Oreochromis niloticus: one gene and its partners. The protein of the gene in region 1 purifies or fractionates together with the protein of each later gene. This does not show direct contact. Links are inferred from orthologs where the notes say so. Each region holds a gene or a part of one and is shown on either strand. Other genes may lie near its edges. The genes, in order: atad5a, rfc5 and WD repeat-containing protein 48.

Region 1 (7,133 bases):
CATTTGATGGTTAGATAATGATGTGTGTCACATAGTTTATCAAGAGAGCTCCCCTTACTGCGAAAGCCATATTTGGCTGTGAGACATTACATCTACAAGGCAAATGGTTGTAGTTCATCTACAGTTTACAGTTACAGCACAATTTTATATTCATCATGTGGTCACTGAATATGGCACATCATCAACATCTTAGTATAAGTATTAATATTTTCTTTGACATTTTACTTTGGAGATTTATTAGCATTATTTATGTTAAAGAAATTGTTTTACAAAACTCTGTGATTCTGTGTTTGACCACAAACATCATACTGAAGCTGGATTCACCCATTCATTTCAAATGAAACCTTTTTTGCTATCATGGTGGGTATTTTGTAAAATGTGAGGCCTTTCTGACTCACCTTCAATTAGTGCTCTGAGTTTCCTTCTTTGTGTCTGCACCTCATCAAACCTCTTTGATGCTCTGTCACTTATTGCTTTCATTTCCTCCCTCAGAGCGTTTCCATGAGCACGATCAATGGGATAGTGACGGCCTCCGTTTGCAGCGACCATTGCCTCGATTTTCTCAAAAAGTGCTTCGACTTGACTGCTGTCCTCCCTGTTACTCACACAGAGGACATGTTTTCTGTTTCCACATTGCTCAAGAATCCACTGCATTTCTGACCACTCACTGATTGTAGTTTCTACATTTTTTTCATTCCATGGATATTGAGCAGTGAACAGCACGATGGTGTGATTCAACACATCCTTGTGGAAAAGTTTCAGGTGCTCTTTTAAAGATGACATGAAGATCTGGGGCAAGAAAAAGCTATGATGAAAGACCAGAAGAAAGGCGTGAGGTCCTGGGGGACACAGATGGACACTGTTCTGGATTTCTATCTGATCCAGCTTTGGGGTGTTTTCTAGTGGATAGTGCCACCACCAGCCTGGAGTATCCACCACAGTGACCCGTCTGCCATGAACCTCCTGCTGCCCCGCCACACTCTGGGCACTTCTTCTGCTGGTGTCAAAAACATTTTGACCCAGTATGATGTTGCCGCTCAGACTCCTATAACTGGGGTGTCCTGTTAATTCTCTGCCACCTATCAGCACGATCCTCAACTCTGGAGAGTCGTGACTGTGCCCTGCAACACAGATGCAGCATTGTTTACATACTGTAAAACTAGAAAAGTGTCTTCATACAGAATTTATGGACACGTTTGTGTAACTGCAAGTATTAGTAAGTAAAACTGTGAAAACAATGTGAATAGATAGCAGTGGTATGTTTGCTTAGTTTTTGTTCACCAGATTAAAAGCCAAGATGACAGAGGTGTGAAATAAAATGATGTCTTTTTTATATATATATATATATATACACACACAGAATAATCTGTAAATGATATCTCTGTTAAGCACTGAGTGAACACTGTGGAATTTAAGCACAATCAGAGATACAACACTGAGAGTCACTTTCCCTGTATGCAAAGACACCGCCAGTAACAACTGAGTCTGATTAAAAATGTGTTTCCTTGTTATGTTAACAAATAAATCAAAAGTCTTATATTCCATTTCTATATACAGGTTTTATGAACAGAATAATATTTACCAGAGCTGGGAACAGCACGCTCATCAGCCATTGTTTAACTAAAGTGACACAAAGAACAGGAAAGGCAGAACTAGTAGAACCAGTTTTGATAATCTACAAGCTGTTTTCTTAAGTCTTTTTAAAGGAGAAATACCAAATACTTACTTTAGAAATGTTTTGATATTCTTTTTAAAATCAGTTCAGGCAAACAGTGCTGTGGAGAAGTATTTGCCTCTTCCTCATTTTTTGGTTTTTGTTTTCATTCCATATTTGTTAAATGTTTCAGATCGTAAAATAAATGTTGATATTAGACTAAAGTAACATGATTAAAGACAACAGTGATTATTTAATTTATTATGGTAAGAAAGGTGTCCAATCCTACCTGGTCCTGTGCGACAAAGTGAGAGCTTAGTTCAGTTTCACTAACCACACCCAGGCCTGATTACTTCCAGACTTGCTGAATCAAGAAATCACCATAAGGAAGAGAAACTGTCTGACAAAGTGAAGTAGGCTAAAAGCTCTCAAACAGCACCACATATAATAACACAGTCTAAAGAAACAGCTGAGAAATAAAGTCATTGACATCTTTCAGTCTGGAAAGGGTTACAAAGTCAAAAGAGTCCTTATCGACAAATGGAGAAGATTTGGAGCATAAAAGATTTCATAAAAGAAATCAGAACTACATTTAAAGAACTGCCGGCCTCACTCACCTCAGTCAATGTCAGAGTTCGTGATTCAACAATAAGAAAAAGACTGTGAAAAATGGCGTCCATGGGAGAGCAAAAAGAACACAAAGGTTCGTATCATGCGCCCCAAAATATATTAAATAAAAAAATATTACATTAAAATTATATATATTATATATAAAGTAATATTCTGTGAACTGACGAGAAAAAAGATTCATTTTTTGGAAGTCAAACGTGGTGGTGGTAGTGTGATGGTCTGGCGCTTCTTTGCTGCACAAGGTAGAGGCTGCTTTGCAGTTTTTAGCAGAGACTTTTAGATATCCTTTATTTATCCGGGTAAAAAGTGTCATTGACATAAAAAATGTCTTTTTTTTAAAGAAAGTTCTGGCCAAGAGGGAAGCAGAAATTGTAAAAATAAATAAATAACAATAAACAGTTTTATAAACATACTTTAAGTGACTAAGAAGGAAAAGGTTGAATATAATATAATATAATATAATATAATATAATATAATATAATATAATATAATATAATATATATTAAAATGCAGAATCATAAACATATCTTTATTTTATATAACAGGGCAGTTGCCATTTCTTTAATGAGGAGGATGTGGACGTCCTGGAGAGGGAGGAACAGAGGGACAGAGAGTAACACAGGTCATTTACATGAAAGGGGGAAGATATCTAGGCCCCTTAAGTGTACCTCTATCTCCAACTTACAATGCTGTGATTGCGTCCATTCCCCAACTCTCTGAATGGTACTCATGGTCACTGATCAATGGTCATGACAGTTTAAATATAAACAATGATGAAACTGCCCATTGTTAGACATTGTTAGAAGTTTCACCTATTATGCAAATGTACTGTTTAAAAGGTTGGGGAAAGCTGCAGTCAGCTGAGAGTGAAGAAGTCACTTGGATGAGTACTGAAATGTTTCTTCCACTGAAAAAGTCCAGGAAAACAGGATCAACTTCTAGGTTTGTAATTTTTGTTTATTCTCTTTAGTGACAGGGTTTTTAAATCTGTGCTAATATTAGTGTTTTCTTGGAAAAACTTACTGACAGTGGAACAGTAGGCTGTGAAAGTCTGGGTGAATATAGTTATATAAATAAAGGAAGGAAACTTTGAAGTTAATTTGCCTTCTTTTGGTTGTATGGGTAGCAGGTTAGAGTGACGCTCAGTCGAGTCTGAAAAGACTGGATTAGCACCAAATATACCAAAGTGGACTGGTCTTTGTTCCTCGTGACTCAATCATTCTTTTCAGGTCATAGAATTGTTTTGCCTCTTCCTTATCCAGGTTAAATGAGCTTTGGTAACAGGGTTGTTGATATGTTTTTGGGGAAGAATAAAAACATTTATTATTCTTGATCTTTAACATATTAACATAACATTAAAATAACATGTGACGAAAAAATGGTGTAACAATATAAAAGACACAATTATAAAATGAATTGTAACTGTTTGACATGAAATGTGGTTATCAAGAAGTTGGGATAAAATTTAAAAAAAAAACAAAAAAAACAGCTTCTTGATCTATTTTGTATTTTAAATATTTTGGAACCATTTTTTTAACAACCAGCTTTAGCTTTTTCTCCCAATTTTTACACAAAAAATTATATTTTAATAGTTTTTACGTGGATGGATAGGAGATAAAATGTCCTGCAACTTAACTTACTTTATTTTGTGAAACGTGAAATGCTCACACTAGAGGGAGCTGTCGTTATTTTACCTCTCCGTTAAAGGTGACACCACACGCCATCTTTGTTATGGGCGGACTAGGACAGCTGATGACGGAGGGGTTTTCTTCCCTGTGATTGGTGGACTCGCGCCATGCCAAAGGTCGCGTATATTTCGCGCTCTTGATTCACAACCGAACTGGCGCGCTATTGAAACAGCCGCAGTATGTGAAGAAATACGAACCTTTGGTTCGTTTTCGGAGCAGTTCGGAAAATATCCGTGTAACATTTTAGCACTTTGCCTTCTTATGTCCTTGTCTGACACGCCGGGAAATGTTTGGAGCACTTCTGGGATCTGTGGGAAGCTTTTAGACTAGCATCTAGCGAAGACAGCTAGCTTGTTGTTTTACAGTAACACATTTCTTTTGGCACCAAACAGACTCACACGATGATTTTATGTTTAGTTGTTTGTTCACTCAGTCGTAGACGTGAATGACAAACCTTTGCAGCAAGTTCCGGTTCGGCTTCGTCGGTGAGTGTTTTCTTTGTTTACGTGGTTTCTCTCTCTTATGTCGCACAGAACTGGAAGTTCCTGGGCGCCATGTCAGGAAAAATATCATTTTACAGCTTAGTTGTTGTTTGCGAACATCATAAATAACACACATGTGAGCCTCGTGTTTATCAGCCTTTTCATACTGCCAGTGCTTCAGCAAAACTTCTACATGGCTGTCGTGACATTGACAAAAAGCGCTGACAGAACACCGCTTTAAAGAAAAGGAAAGGCTTTGTGTTATCACTTGTAAATACACTGTTCTCCTTTTTGTTAGTGTTAAAGTAATTATTAATATTTCTGAATGTAAATACCACACGCTTTTATCACAGTGTCAAAACATAATAAACGCTCGTAATCCGTACAACAAAATAAAAGGAAAACAGCAAAATCATCCAGAACATACCTGAATGCAAATGCATCATATAAAGTACAAATAACCTGCACATAGCTTTATTTTAATGGTTGATTTTCATTTTTCCCTTTTCTTTTCCCGTTATTATTTTTCCGGGTCCTTTTTTTCTTGCCACCAGTGTTGCCGCCTGGTTATTGTAGTGAATTTTTCCAATTCAGCGACTGATTGCAACTTGTGGTGACTAAAGATTGCCCACTCACGACCACTTTTGATTGCACAGGTTGTCTGGTAGGAGGCAACCTTTTTGCAGTCAGTCTGACTTTGACTGACTGCCATTACTCGTTAAAGGTTTGCAAGTAGTTACATCTAATTTATAAACATTGACTTATTGTTGGTTATTGTAAATATTGGATATTTACAAAGTTTAACTTTGAGGACATCATTTGCAGTTAACAAAAGGTTCAAAGATCCCAATATATGTTAATGAAATACTCGGCAAAAAAAAGAATCAAAAAGTATTGTGATAATATCGTATTATGGAGTGTCTGGTGTGTCCCACCTGTAGCTTGTAGTTATTATTTTCTCACAGAGGAGGAGAGAAAGCTCCTTGGCAGGAATCAGTATGAGGGAAAATTAGAAAATGTCAGGTGACAGGATGGCTGGGTCTCTGAGAAAAGGAAAGCAGTTAAACTTCCACCTGAATCTCTGATGTGTCTTTGCTGATCTGTTCTTCTGCGAGCTGTGTGTAACAGTGTTTTATTTATTTCTGCTTTAGGTCTCGTCAGATAATGGCTGGTGTTGTGGCTATGCCTTCTGTCATTGAGGACTTTGACAGCCAGGTGTGTTATGATACTGATTTGAGCAGCGCATCAAATGCACCAACTATTTTGAATTGCCTTGCATTTTTATCTCTGATTAAATTTGTCTTTCTTTTTACAGCCTTGCAAGAAATCTCGCAAAGATGGTGGCAGTCCTGTTGTCAAAACAATCACCAACTATTTCTCTCCTGTGCCTAAGCCTGTGGAGAAACCCTTCTCTCCTCCACGTTCCAACAACATCATGGACTACTTTAGCAAGAGGGCTCCATCCTGTAAAGAGAAATCCAGCTCACCAGAGCAAACTAAAGAAGTAGGGAGGCCTCACTCTGCAGAAAAACACACCAATCCGGAGACGGTGAAACAGCTGTCTCAGAAACGGGGTCGAAAAACCAGCAAAGCTGCAAGGAAACTTGTGGGGGCTGAAGGTGTCAGTTCCACCGAGGAGTCAAGTTGCGTGACTGTACAAGAATCGCATGAAAGCAAAGACCAGGCTGTAGATGCAGTTAAAAGTTTTGGAGTCCTTGGCAGCGATACAGCAGCTCTACTGGCCCAGCTTAGTGCTGAGAGCTGCATTCCTGCAGAAACATCAGAGAAACATGCCACTAAGATTATCACGGATGAGCAGGCTGAGAAAGCTGATCATCAGGAAGATGGTTCTAAATGTGTTGAACTTAAAACAGCACTAAACACTATTGAGTTGTCTCCAATTGTACCCTCAAAGTATGAAGCAAAACAGGTTAAAACCACACCACAAAATACCAGGAAGAGGCAGCAACAAGAGGCAAAGCAGTCAGAGCCAGAGGAGAAAGAAGCAGAAACTGAGAACTCTCTCCGTGATGTAAGCATGGAGGTCAATGTTGATGAGTCTTCTCAGTTGAACAGCAGCACAGTAAGAATCTCCTTTGAGGATTTTGTACGGAGTCAGAGTCAGGATGAGGCTGAAGAGGACAGAGAAGATGAAGAAGTAAAAGATGATGACTGTAAAATAACAAATGAGACAAAGGAAACAAACTCAGGTGAGCTGGATATTTCCAAATCTGAAGAAAACATGGTTCCTGAGGAGTTGCCATCATTTCAGGTTTCACCCCGAACTGTCACCATCCAGGCTCAAGTGCACGTCTCACCAAAACAAGAACCAAGCAAAGCGGTGGGAAAGTTGGCTTCCATCTTCAACCGGAAAAAAGGCGGGCGTAGTCCTGCAGAGAGATTCTCATCTTCTCACGCTGAGGCTGGACACCAGCTTCCTTCTCTGACTACCAAACGGAAATCCAACGTGGTTCTCCAGGAGGAGGATCTAGAGCTGGCAGTGCTTGAGAGCGAATCCATTCCTAAGTGCAGTGAAGTCGAGAGGAAGCAGTTCATGGCCGCTTTCAAGCAGCCCACTGCAGACGTCTCCAAATCCAAGCCTGTCAAGAGCCAAAGCAAGCAGAAGCAACCAGGAGAGAAAAGTTTGGATGCTGCTGAAGCTGAAACTGAAAATCTGC
Region 2 (7,104 bases), on another chromosome or scaffold:
AGTGGCTATATTTTGCCTGTTTTAAAACGGTCACACTGAATATGACATCCACATCTTAAACAGAGCCGATGATGAACTTCTGGCCATACCTGCAGTATGTTGAGCGATCTTCTCATGTCACCTGTTGATAAGGTCACGATACCCTTCATTCCATCTGGCGTGATGTCAATACTGTCACAAAAAGTAATGACATAATCAACTATTTTTAAATCATATCAAAGTTAAATTAAAACTTGCGACATGAACACATAACTGATGACATTTAATAAATAGAGCAATCAAAAATAGTTCCAAGTCCGTTCATTAATTTCTTCCATCTCAAGTTACATGTACCAATAAATGTGAAACAATGAGAAAATTCATTTCCTATTGTGGTATTTGTTGGTTTTTCAGGGCTTGGTACAGTTGAGAGGACAGGGTTGATGTTGCCCCCTGATTTAAACTGTTTTCAAACACACAGAGAAGCCCTAAACTTCTAAAAATTACCCAACAGAAACGTAACATAAGAACAAAGACTCTAGATTTTAAACAACCTTTAATGTGGTTGGTATTATGTCTGTCTCTAAACTACCATAAAAATAGAGAATGTTCATTTAGAAGGAAATGAACAAACTTATAAATTCAGCAGGGGATCAAATAATTATTTCTCTCACTATAGGCAGACTAGCGGAGCCCAGTGGAGGCCAACAGGTACAAATACATTTGTCAAGTTCATTAGCAATTCTGGGAATAATTCAATGAGATGTAAAAACAAAAACGAAAAAAACAACAGTAAGTGGAGAGAAAGCATTCACACATTAACTCACTTCTCCTGCTGGATAACGTGCTCCAACCGAGGGATCATCTGGTCTGGCGAAAGGGGACCAAAGCGGAACCTGGTGCAGCGAGATTGCAGGGCGGGGATGATCTTGGACAGGTAGTTGCAAATGAGACAGAATCGAGTGTTTTCTGTGAACTTCTCAATGACTGAGACAGAGAGCAAGGGTGGGATGAAAGCAGGGAAACAAGTTTAAAATGTAAATTCTGGCAACATCTTAGTCAATAAAAAAAAAAAATCCACTTTTTTGAATAATCTATCCTAAGTACTTGCTAAATGTTGCTAAGATTGTGCAGGACACTCGTAAACCACCTCATTGAGAATTTAGAATTGACAGTAATATACTAATAATACCATCCACTGTTCCTTCACCATGCATCTATTTAGAACTATAAAACAGCACTGCACAGCAATAGATGCTTTATAAATGAAATATGGAAACATTATTAGAAAAACACAGGTTGGACTAAATTTACAAAATATTTTACAGTTAAATTCAATAATTATTTCCACTCTTCTGGAAAGCAAAGCTTTTTAAATAAATATCCAGGTTTAAAAGTAGATACACTGTAAGTCAGCAGCAGCCAAATTGCCTGCTCACTGAGCCGTGTGCCTCACAGTGGGTAGTGCCTGAACGAACAGATGGCTTACCTCGACGCAATGCATTCTGGGCATCCTGGGTCATGGCATCGGCCTCGTCTAGTATCACCAACTTGAAGCCCTTCCTGAAGGACAAGATAAATAAAAAAAGGCAGCAGCTTACATTTCCACTGCACTTCTTAACTGCATGTAAAAGTACTGAGAACACTTATTTCTGATCAAAATCTCTATAAGTGTTTTAGTCTTACTTGAAGATGGTCCTGGTGCTGGCAAAACTCAGAATGGGACCTCGTACTACATCAATACCTCTGTCATCAGATGCATTGAGCTATAAAGCAAAATTAATTATATTTTAATGTAAAATGGCAGAGTTACAAGTTAAAAAACCTTTACAATTCAGCAAATCCAAATCTTCTAATGAGGAGTTGTAACATACCTCCAACACCATAGAGTTGAACTCCTTCTCTTTGTACAGCTGCCTGGCACAAGCGAGTATGGTTGAGGTTTTTCCCGTTCCAGGTGGGCCGTAGAACAAAAGGTGCGGAAGCTTGTCCTCACTGATAAACCTTTGGACTGGAAATAAAAAGAACAAATGAAAATCAGTTTAAATACAAGTGACCGACGTTTCTTTAACAATCCACATATGCACCCCCCTTGAATAGTTCTATAAATTTGAAACACAAAAGTTTTAAGCAAGTTGACTCAGTACCATGACTCATTAATGACAGTGACGGTATAACCACAGTAAACAAGCTCAGGAGTCAAAAACACTGACAGATAGCATTGAGTTTATCAGTTTATTAAGGTTTAAAAGTAGTTTGCTTATCCATAAGTGTCATGTTATACAGTTTTATAGTACTGTTATTCTGGCAGTCCACATACTTACTAGTGCTCAGAATATCTTTGTGTGAAATCAGATCATCAAGTGTCTGTGGTCTGTATTTTTCAACCCTGAAACAGGAAAACACACACACGCATTCATACTTGCGATAACTACTGAGTTTACAGCATGGCAAATAAGCAACCTCGAATGAATTTTAAAGCAAATTATTGAAACGTCTACGGATACATATGATAAGCGCTGACAAACGTTGACATATCCCATTACAGATGCCCACTTTTTAGTTCGGCATCCTTATTTTTTTTCGTAATATCACCCTTTATTATAAACAAAACGTCAACCTTACAGCACTTTCACCGCAGTCAGAAGCTGCAGGTTTTCGGTTAACCTGTTGCTGAAGTGGCACCATGTTAATGCTTGATGGACTGATAAGATTTATGTAAGCCGAACTGAAGATAAGTTCATTTCCTTCCATTTTACAAATATGCGTAATAACTAACGTCATTTCTAAATGTACATAAAGCTATCAGTTCACAGAATGCATCAGTCTACTCAGTGCAGTGAGCAGCTAGCTTGACAGTAGGCATGTTAGCTAGCTAGCAATAACTTTTTGAACCATTCTGTGATAAACAGCGACTTTCAGCTCACCATGGTAAATTTCTGGTCTGTAGCGGCGCTTTACTTGTAGAAGCCATGTATCCTACCAAGCGTGAATTTTACGCCAAGCTGAGCTAAAGGGTTCCAGAGTTTAAGCCACTGCGATTACTACTGTTGATGGCCCTGTTTGGCGCGCTCCGCAAACAAAACGTACGTCACACGTCACCACGTACAACCAATGAAATCACATTGTCGTTTTCATGGGCGGAGTATCGGTGACTCGTTCTCTTCTGTAAAAAGTAATAACGGGATTTAGAAATTGTAACAATAAAAGATACACAATATCAAACATCATAAAAACGAAGGTATATGTCTCCTCTTTCATTTTTAAATATTGTCTCTCCCATTTTGAACAATTCCTTTCCTTAATCAGTGAAAATGAAAATCAAACTCAGCAGTAGATTTTTTGTTTTTTTATCCAACAGCAAGAACTAGAAGTCTTTAAAGATGGCATATGGTACTGAAGTCTGAATCACCAATTTAAACAAAAGAAAAAAAGTATTCTGGCTATCTTGATTTTTAAAATAAAAGTCACTTGCACTAAACGTCTTGTTAAATTTTAAAAAAAATAAAATAAAGTCTACTCCTTTCCTTCTTAGATGTAGTTTGTTCACTTTTATACGACACTGACATCTTAATCTCATTATAGTTTATCTTTGTAAGCTTCACAATTGTTCTTGCAAAATAGAGTCTTTTAATATTTAACCATCTTAAAACATGACAAAGAGTGTCAGAAATGTTTTCTACATTTTTTTGCATTTATTTTCTGTTACATGTGGAATATTTTCTTCTGGTAATGGTGCTGACAGTAAAATACACATATCTGTCCATATCTCAAAAAGTGCAGTGTGCCCATATATTTATCTAGAGCCTGAATTTGAAATATTACCTAACCTTATACTTTACACAACAGGTTTCTCTGAAACATTTTCTTGATCATCATGGGTTAGTGAAAAAAAGCTGTGAGCACACAAGTACACAAGATTTTGTGTACCATCTCCTATCTCTTTAATCGTCTTGACTTCTCAGATTTGTTGCTGGAAACCTCCAAAGCATCCTGATTCCCAGGCTGCATTATACTGCATCAGTCAAGGATAATGATTTAATATCACAGCCTGCATTTTGACAGCATTCAATCCTTAATGTTTGGTTTATATATTTTTTTTTTTTTGCAATTGCTGTTTTTGAACAATCCAGTTTCTATTTGTAATGTCTGCATTATAACCTATATTCTAACTGAGGAGCTTCACTGTGATCAAGATCTCTTCTGCAAATTAAAACTGAGCACAGAGGAAGAAGAAATGAGATAAGGCACACAATAAAAAACAGAAGATTCCACTCACATGCAAACATCATCAGGCATAGTACAGAGTTGTCTAACTAGGCCAAAAATTAAATGTCACACACGAATCAATGGAAAAGAATATTTGTTCTTCCATTTAACTTTAAAGCATATTTAAATCATTTTCTAGAAATATTTTGAAGTGTTTGTAGCTGTTGACTGCAGGCTATATAAGTGTCTTGGATGTGAGTGCACACAGCATGAGCCTGTAATAAACTAATAGAATCATACATATTCAGTAAAAGGACATCTTTGTTTCAAACATGTAAAGAGGGATAGTTTTGTCCCTAACCCTAGCCTGGCGTTTCAAGCATATTAAGCTCTCTGCCCTGCTCTGTAATCTCGCGAGAACGGCCCCTCACGGTGGTGCCTGGGCGATGCGATGCTGTTGCTGTGGGTTTGATTGACAGGAAACATGTCGGTGTGGTGGGAGAGAACCGGGATGCAGCTGCTGCCTAGGGAGACAGGGAGTACCTGCATCCAGTCCGCACATCAGCACCTTTAAAACCAGCAGGCTTTTCCCCGACGCGTCTACTTATGGTGCGCTGAACAGCTTCTTCTTCTTCTTTTTCTTTTTTTTTTCAAACATACATTTGAAAGAAGTGGAACCCAATGGATGCAGACCGCGTAGTCCCGCTTGGTATCTTCATACTGTGTTTGATTTAGCCCACAACCAGAGACACCTTGATGAAACAGCAGGAACTACGAGGACTGTTGTTGCAATGGAGTCGACTCTCTCACGGCTCAAAGCCCGTCTCTAAACCTTCAACATCTCGTTTCATGGCGTTTTGCAGGTTGCTCCGTTCCGTGGGTTTCACCACGCTCCTTTCTTGAATAATCATCAATATTTTTTTCCCCTTGTTTTTGAATTAATTCATTCCTTTTTTGTTAAGTGCAGCGGAAAAAAACGTCCACTGTTCACAAAACTATGAACGAGGAGATGACAAAAAGCGAGGAGCAGCATCTTAGTTTGCAGAAAGCCTTGCAGCAGTGCGAGTTGGTGCAAAATATGATAGACATAAGCATTTCTAGTTTGGAGGGTTTACGGACCAAATGTGCCACATCCAACGACTTGACACAAAAAGAGATACGAACGCTGGAGGTAAGCACCCTTTGAGCGGAATCATCGGATTTCTGCTGTGCATCTACATCCAAATCAATATGGGGGGGTGGCGGGCTGCCGCCGTTTGTTATTTATTTCAAGGCCACTATGCATAATTTTTATGTGTCTTTTCTACGGCAGACTGCTTTTCTGCTGCCACTGCATAAATATGCAACGATTTCAGCTAAAGCCCACTGCTATCTGTTTTGTGCAGTGCAATAAATCAAGAGGCCAAGGGGCTGCAGTGAGCTGTTATAGACTTGCGCATTCTGCAGGTGGCGGGGAGAGAAGGTGGCTCTTCTCCACCAGAATAATATCTGAGGCAGCCGAGGCCTATAGGCAGCCCGTGTTTACAATCCATTAGCAATATGCCAGCCTGCGCATCTGTTCTCGCAGCCAGGCCCTGCGTTATGCAAGGCTGGCAGATTACTGAAATTGTTACAAAATATCGTTATCCGTTAATTGGCCCGTGGGGTATTCCGTAAATTGCGTTACGTAATGGTCATGTTGTGTGTTGAGATATCAGGCTGCCCTTTTTGAGACTACTTAGACCAGTCGAATAAACCCCTTACCACTGACAGGCTGTTACAGGACATAAAGATGCCATAAAGTGCGATAAGCTCACTGCAAACTCACTATAGCCTATTGAGCACTGCAGACACAGCACGGCATTTAGGGCCTATAAGAATGTTATTGTGATGTCTCATGAGATTGAAACAAATACCATTAAGTGATAAGGTCTCCATAAACTCACCACTAAGTCTTTGTGTGCGCCATCAACAGACTTTAAGTCCTAGTGGGAGAATAATTAAGATACTACGTTAACAAAATACCAAGAAATCACTTGTGAGTGGCACACACTTAATCTCATCCCCACAGGAATATGAGACTGTGCATAACACATAAACATATTGCAAAGTATTCATGTCTGAGCTGTTAAATGGAGTTTGCAAGTGCTGGACAGGGGACAGGAATGTAATCCAAGTGAAGAAATAACTAAATATATAAAGTGCAAATGCTCTGCCAGCAATGAGCAGGCTACACTGTGAAGATAAGTGTTCACTATGTTCCCTGCATGCTTTGCAAAGCGCTTTCGGTACTGGATTACTAGTTATAAGCATTATGGGGTATTATTTTTATTTCACCAGTAAAATTAGCCTGACAAATTTTTGTGAATGGATTTATCAGAAAGATTTTATTGATTGTGTCATGGTTTGACCTATTTCTCCAAACTTAAGAAGGGTAAGGATATCCTTTTTAATTTGCCTAAACCAAAAGTTAGGATATACCCAAGCTATGTGTTCAGTTCTTTTCAGAAAATTTTGGCATCCATTATTAGCATGTTTGTAGCAACTGTGCTGCATGGCTAATACCTGTATGAAAAGGACACGTTAGTTGAAGGAAAAATAATCTTCTCTCAGAAGCTGAGTTAAAGGATTGTATTTGGAGTGCAAGAAACACCACTTTCTCTGTCATTTTAAAATTATGCTTAACTTCAGTCTTCCACAGGCTGTTAGACAGGTTGTTACATTACAAAGACAGAGATTTTTCATATTGACACTGAATTTGAGAGAGACATTATCCTTTAAAACAAGAGTTTTCAAAGTGCAGCTTGCACAAACTTATATTCCCACCTTAAAGAGATCTTGCAAAATTTTAAATGTTACTGGTGCTACACACTGTTTTTATGCTGTTGCTTTGTTAGTGTGGTTTGTATCACTTGTTCTACTCAACAGGAATGCAAC
Region 3 (7,063 bases), on another chromosome or scaffold:
GCACCTCTGCTGGCCGAGGGACCAAAGGCGAATGGTCCCATCTGAACTGCCTGATAGGCACTGTGGGGAGGACCAGTGACTTTTAGATTCTGAAACTTTGCTCTTTGGCAGCCGCGGCATTTTAGATCATTTAACTCACCTGAGTGCCGTCTCGATTCAGCAGCAACGATTTGACGTTGTCCGTGTGACCTTTTAGCTTCATGAGCTTAGCGCACGTTCGAGGATCCCACACTCTCAGAACCTGAAGAAAGACACAAGAAGGGTAATGACAACAATCGTACTGGGCTAAAACAAAGCAAGGTACGCACTCAATTACACCATTCATGCATTTTCTTTATATTAAATTTTTGAAGCAGTCTTTATAGTTTATAATATCCACAGATTTGTGACAGCCTAATGGAAATGCTTTAAGCATATCTGAACAGAAACCAAAGGTCAGTGAAGAACTTGTATTATCACTTGCTTACAAATTCTTAAGAGAAGTTAGAGAGAGAAGTTTTCTTCTAATAGCCATTTTCCTGAAGCCATGTAACCTACATAGAGCTGAAGACTACAACTTAGAATATGAAAGAACTTTTTACTGTTTTGCGTTTTAAGAAATTAGTAAAAATAAGTTAACAAGGCAATTACTAGATTATAGTGTAGTAATTCATTCTCTACTGTTCAGGTTCAAGGTTTTGAAAAAACTGAACTCAGTGAATGGAAGAAGGCTAAAAAGGCTTTGTTAAGGCCTGAGGTTTATTTTGAAATCTGTCAACTAGACAAAACTGTGAAGCTACAATTTAACATCACAAATGATACCTGGATTACAGAGCAACGCTTAAACTATGCTTTGAAGTTTAAAAGGCAATAACAATTGTTCTTTATATCTTGACGCTGGTCTAAGCAACTTAGAGATCATGCCATGAAAACCTGAAATTTAACAAATTATACATCACCCCTAAGACAATTATGAGCATTTTAGGGACCCAAACAGGACTAAGAGATGTGTAATAATCCACAGAGACCCTAAAAACCAATTATAATCACTGAATGAGTTACCATTCAGTGATTATAATTGGTACCCGTGGCGCTCCTGAGAGCTGAGTTATTGAAGCTTAGAGTCCTTTTAAAAGTGATTGTAGTTAGAGAGACAGATTGTTGCTCAGTGAAGCTGTTTATGTCTCAGTATTTTCAAAAATGTAACACAACTGAAAGTTCGCATTTATTCCTTAGTGTAAACACTGGGCACTGTGTAAATCTGTCCATCTGTGTGTCACAAACCTTTTCTGTGGATCCTGATACAATAACCGTGCCCATCTGGTTCATAGCCAGACTGTAGATTGAGTCCTTGTTCCCACTCAGTGATGAAGCTGTTGGAGACAAAATATACTAAGTCCAAAGGTACAGACTGACTTTGACATAAACATATCAGTCATGCTAAATACAAATTACACTCAGTACAAATCACATCTAATCTAAGCTTCTGTCCAGAGGACAGAAATGGATACTAGTGTCAGACTGCAAAATCTTTACTTACTGGTGACAGTGTTGTTGGAAGCAGTGAGTGCTGTTAGTGTGTTCACATCCCAAAGAAAGATCTGCCTGTCCAGACCTGCTGATGCTACCAGCTCTTTGTCCTTAGCGTAAGCCAACGCTTTCACGTAGTCCTTATGTGTTCGTAACGTTGACATACAAAACCCTTTGTGTGCGTTCCATACTTTGACTGTTGTATCCGATGAGGCAGATATCACTGAAAGCAAATTTTTTTAATCAGAAACGGGGGGTTCAAAATAAAATGTTGGGTGAACTGAACAGCTTAAAAAAAACCTCACAAGTTTTTCCATTGCAACAGAGGACTATGTCATTAACCCAGTCTGTGTGATGCTCCATCGATGCAATGTACGGGTCCTGCTATGATAACAAGAGAGGACAAGGACAGTTAAGACGGTCTTAGGCATGGGATTTGAGAAATGCATACTAAAGCAGCTGCCTTATGTAAAATGAGTTGACTATTTTAGCATAATGGAGCAGGGCAAGAAGCTGTACTTTGTGCTGGTAGACGCTCCATATCCGGATGATGGAGTCCCTCCCTGCAGTGAAGAGCCGGTTCAGAGCAGGGTCGAGCTGGAGTGCATTCACCCCGTTTCGATTGTACTTCTCCACCTCATCTCTAATGACATATGATACCTGGAACACAGAGAGGAGAATGGGCGCTGGGCTCAGACTCCTAATCTCGACCTGTTTTGCTTTGGCCCACACAACACACCCACCCAACACACCCACCCTTTAAGCTCTAACGTGCTAACACTTGTATAACGTGAACTTGCACTCCAAGGACCTGCAGAGTTAACGAGACAAACACAGAGCTTAACTAAATGTCACACACACTGGCATATAGTGCAAACCGGTTTCACTTTAACAACAAGGAAAGTGCATAATTTTAATGTTTATTTTTACGGCAGCTGAGCATACTGGCAACGGTTCACGACAGACCTGCCTGGACGCGTACGTTTCACTAGCAATTAGACGGAGCCCGGATACAGTAGCTAGCTTAGCTTCCGTCAACGCCGTAACAGCTTCAAACGGCAACCAAGGAGGGGTGTTATTATTTTGTACTGACAGGCGATATCTGTAGTCATCTTATAAAGTATTTTACACTTGCTCGTATGAAAAAAATGTTTGCAAAAGCATGTAATCATTTGGAAGCGACCGTTAGCACATGACGCTAACACCTCACGTATGCTAAGCTAGATAGGTTAGCCGGCTTGAGTCATGACACCTAACTGCAACGCTATCTTGTGCTGGTGTCTTTTACTCCCTATCGGGTGTTTGTGAAGAACCTCTTTAAGCTGGAGGCCCCGATGTTGCCGTTGTCACAAATTTACCAATAATGTAACGCCTCTAATTTACCTGTACTTTCCTCCGCCCAGCAGCATTTTGCCTGTGATGCGTGGCCATCTTGCATGTTGACAGTCAATTCATGTGATGCTACATCCGGAAAAAAAGAAAACATATGTACCTGGGCTTTCTGGGTAATGTGGTTCTACACGTTCCTAAAATTTTAACGTTAAAGGATTTTATTTTATTTATTTTTTTTGTCTTTCCCCACCACTCAATCCTGGGGATTTGTTCACTGGCGCAGTGGTGCTGTTTTGTAATACAACACCTTTGGGTATCAATCAATGTAATAATGTAATAATCAATGTAACGTAATTTATGTATTTTAAAACTAGTTTTTTGTTTTGTTTTTGGTTTTTTGAAGACATGGAATCTAAATACGTCTGTCTGTAAAGCACTTTGGGTCAACTTCTATTGTTCAAATGCGCTACTATAATTAAAACATATGTGACAGTCAACACAAAAAAGGTACTGAGACATTTTTCATAGTGCGTGTTTGATATAGCTATAATTGTTCATGAAATAATTCAGTGGGGTATATAGGGGAAAGAAAGAAGGTACCAGTTTCAATACCGTCAATATTTATATTGATCCGAGCGCCTGTATGGCACAGTGATTGGCACATCCGCGCAGTTCACCATGATGCACGCTGGACAATCGTTATGGCTGTATTATTATATAATATGCAAATATAAACATCTGTTTATATGGTCGCAGAGGAGGATTAACACAAGACCGTCCAACCGTCCAATGTTCACATTTCAAATTTCTGGGAAAACATTTGTCTAGTTTATATCTCAACCTTGAAGTGTATTTCTGCTGTGCCATAGCTATTTTGAAAAACATATCTGGGTAAACTATTTAGCAGGCCTTTTATCTTTTATTAGAATAATTTAGAAATAAGCTTAAAATATGTTCCGCCTCCCTCTATACCTTAATACACAAAATGTGATGTATGAATCCTGATGAGACAGCATTTCGGTCTATCAATCTGCGCATGTTCTGAAAATAAGAATTCTTGCTGCTCCATACAAATAGAAAGTCTATTACCGGACACTAGAGGGGGTAATACACTATCATGAGCTGCACAGGAAGTCCAAACCTCCCGGCTCTATTGGAAAGACAGAATAAAAGTCTGAGGACCGGTGGTGTGAAATCACGTCTTTTTAAGGGTTCACTCGTGCGAATCAGGTTTTGATTCCAAACCAAATCAGCTCACTGTAGGGTGCATGCAGTGAACTCGGGCTCTGGCTGTTCTTCACGGGTGTGCATGCCTCTGGTTGGTACGTTAAACCAAACAAAAGTGTTTAAAACCCGGCACGTGAAATGTGGGCTACTGTCGATTGAATACGAAAGCAGCCTCTGGTAGGAGCGTTTCCCACACACACCTTTTACAGAAATAAACTTTGAGCTTCTTCATAGTCCTCGGACTAAGGCATACTTGGTGATGTGGCAAAAGCGCAGCACACACTATGCCTGAGAGCGCCATGGGACGCCTATAGCGCGGTAATCCTCTGTGGCCCAACAGCAATCCCCCCCCTCCCTCATGCTCTCTTGCTCAAGGGCAAATCGAGACAGCGCAGCATCCTCCACGCTCAGCAGCCGGAGACTTTTCCTTCATGGGATGAAAACCGACGGGCCTCACGAATGGAAGGCAAGAGGACGAAGTTTTACTTACACCGCACCTGTGACAGCTTTCAAAATGTCCAAAATAGGGTGACTGCAGACCTCTGGCGCTTACCAAGAAGTCAGTTTTGACCGCTTTTCTCTGGATTCTGGTGACACTTTTCTTCCCCCTGGGCTGGAGTTTGGATCCACGATGAGGCGAAGTGAGCCTTGAAAAGAAAACATGGATTTTGCACGGAAGGTTTGGTTGTTTCTTCTTCTAAAACCCGAAGAACTTCATTCTGGAAACGATGCTGTAAAACTCACAGTTTCACATGTAAGTATATTCTGCACGGAATCCTCATGTGGCCGCAAAAACATGTAGCAGAAAATGATTGGCACGACTTCTTGGCTGTTTGTTTTCTCCTTTTGTTTTTAATTTTTTTATTGTATTCGCCTAAAGACAGTATGTTAACGGAGAACCTCTCATTACTTCATCAAATAAGTGTTCAGTTTCAAAAAGCTTTAGGATTAAGCTTCCTTTGGAAATTCACTTTAACGAGGTCAATGTTTCATTTGCCTTCTTATCTCCTGAAATATGAAGTGAAAAGACATTTAATGTAATGATATCCGAGGCTGTGATTATTACACATGTCATCCATGACATCACAAACCACATTTTGAAAGAAAATCTCAACAATCTTCATGTTTAATGTGACTCATGTAACTTTTGATAAGTTGTAATATTCATTTTTTTTAAAGTAATATTTGAACACTGGCAACTGGGATTCATACTCAGTTCATTATCAGCCACTGGTTTTATTAGTGGATCATTTTACCACTGTCTATATTTTTATATGCGTGTACTTTCTGTATGCTTGGCGTTTAAGTTATCTTCTGCAATTACATTGAAAGGTTTCTGCCAAAGAAGTAGGTCATCAGTTCAGGCTTTGCACCTCAGATCACAGTATGAAGCTCTGAGGGGGAGAAGGACACATAACATGGCGATGAAGAACATACAGAAGGCCCAGTTAGACTAGACGCCCAGAAAAGTATGAAAAAAAGTTGGACTCATTCCTAAACTTTTTAATAATGTTTTTAGTGTAATTTTTAATATTTCGATTGCAACATACAGCATTGTTTAATAACGCAGTAAGAAAGCAGTCTTTAGTTAAACAAATCATTTGAGTATCTGTAGTTGATAGAATTAAATAGACCATTGTATAAACACACACACACACATATAAGGAAGCATAAAGAGCTCTGTCATCGTTATAGAGCTGAAAACTACAGGTTAGAATATGAAAAGAAAAACTATCTGTAGGTTTTGAGTTAATATAAGAAAATAAGTTAGAAATGAGTTAACAACCAGATAGTGAGAGCTATCGCCTGATAAGAACTTTGTTTCCTGTTAAAACAATCTTAAAATAAAAGATGATGGAATAGATAGCAGCAGTACAAAGTCCTGCCGTAGTCTCATAAAAGATGGGGGGAAAAACAATAGTCTTCTGTGACTCCATAAGGAACTCTGCCATGTCTAATAGTCATGTTACTCCATTCATATAGGTTATAGAGCTGAAGACTACAAGTTAGAATCTGAAAGAAGCTAATACACTGTGACGTTGACTATAGTGTAGTAATTCATTCTCTACTGTTCAGGTTCAAGGTTTTCAGTTCAGTTCAGTTCATTTTTATTTCAAACATATACATTCACCAACATTTCATAAAATCATTCCATGCAGTTGTTTGAAAAGGAGTAGGCAGAAGTATATACTTATTTAGCCCTACCCCCTGAGGTTTACATCCTCATCATCTAAATTTGAACAACAAAAACGTTTACAATGCCTTCAACTTAGAACATAATAACATCAAAAAAATAATATGTATATATACATATATATATATATATATATATATATATATATATATATATATATATATATATATATATATATATATATATATATATATATATATATATATTTTCTCCTGTTCAGCTAAAACTATATTTAGATTTGCTAATTTGTAGAAGAAAATAAACATCAGTTTGACTGCTGTCTTGGGTTAATTGCAATTTCTTCATTCTTATACTTTTAAAAAACTGAACTCAGAAAATGGAAGAAGGCTAAAAAAGGCTTGATTAAGGCATATATAGAAGGTTTATATGGAAATCTGTCAACTAGACAAAACTGTGAGCTACAATCTAAGATCACAAAAAATACCTGGATTACAGAGCAACAAAATGTATCTAAATACATTTGTCGCATAATAATAGTTCTTCGTTGGTCTAAGCAACTTAGAGATTGTGCCATAAAAATCTGAAACTGAACAATCGAATATAGTTACAATTACCAAGTAAGCTGTGAGAAGATTCACAGCTTACTTGTTTTGAACTATAGAATAAGACAGTATTTTCCATTTATTTTAGGTAAGCCACACATTCCATCACCCTACATTTTATACGTTTAGATATTTTATATTTTCTAAAATGTTTCACTTTTAATGAGAGAAAAATTAGTTAATTATGAGCACTTTAGGGACCCAAACAGGAGGAATAATCCACAGAGGCCCTGAGAGG

Evidence for each region.
Region 2: the proteins of atad5a (region 1) and rfc5 purify together in Homo sapiens (affinity purification with mass spectrometry; 4 studies listed by BioGRID and IntAct, counting the BioPlex papers as one, with this or other methods). This does not show direct contact. The link is inferred for Oreochromis niloticus from reciprocal best matches to the Homo sapiens genes ATAD5 and RFC5.
Region 3: the proteins of atad5a (region 1) and WD repeat-containing protein 48 purify together in Homo sapiens (affinity purification with western blotting; 3 studies listed by BioGRID). This does not show direct contact. The link is inferred for Oreochromis niloticus from reciprocal best matches to the Homo sapiens genes ATAD5 and WDR48.

Annotation. Positions count from the first base shown.
Region 1 is NC_031969.2:16,952,438-16,959,570, forward strand, and holds the start of atad5a (ATPase family AAA domain-containing protein 5), read left to right. Parts: upstream 1-4,075; 5' UTR 4,076-4,458; intron 4,459-5,606; 5' UTR 5,607-5,619; coding exon 5,620-5,670; intron 5,671-5,770; coding exon 5,771-7,133. Other genes in the region: GTPase IMAP family member 8, read right to left, coding at 399-1,121, 1,583-1,613. UniProt on the Homo sapiens protein: Has an important role in DNA replication and in maintaining genome integrity during replication stress.
Region 2 is NC_031977.2:30,124,982-30,132,085, reverse strand, and holds the start of rfc5 (replication factor C subunit 5), read right to left. Parts: upstream 3,099-7,104; 5' UTR 2,954-3,098; coding exon 2,907-2,953; intron 2,369-2,906; coding exon 2,304-2,368; intron 1,991-2,303; coding exon 1,854-1,990; intron 1,746-1,853; coding exon 1,666-1,745; intron 1,543-1,665; coding exon 1,469-1,542; intron 967-1,468; coding exon 807-966; intron 172-806; coding exon 90-171; intron 1-89. Other genes in the region: ksr2 (kinase suppressor of Ras 2), read left to right, coding at 5,186-5,359. UniProt on the Homo sapiens protein: Subunit of the replication factor C (RFC) complex which acts during elongation of primed DNA templates by DNA polymerases delta and epsilon, and is necessary for ATP-dependent loading of proliferating cell nuclear antigen (PCNA) onto primed DNA.
Region 3 is NC_031982.2:7,359,945-7,367,007, forward strand, and holds the start of WD repeat-containing protein 48, read right to left. Parts: upstream 3,025-7,063; 5' UTR 2,941-3,024; coding exon 2,893-2,940; intron 2,170-2,892; coding exon 2,029-2,169; intron 1,894-2,028; coding exon 1,815-1,893; intron 1,733-1,814; coding exon 1,520-1,732; intron 1,353-1,519; coding exon 1,264-1,352; intron 242-1,263; coding exon 140-241; intron 61-139; coding exon 1-60. UniProt on the Homo sapiens protein: Regulator of deubiquitinating complexes, which acts as a strong activator of USP1, USP12 and USP46. Enhances the USP1-mediated deubiquitination of FANCD2; USP1 being almost inactive by itself.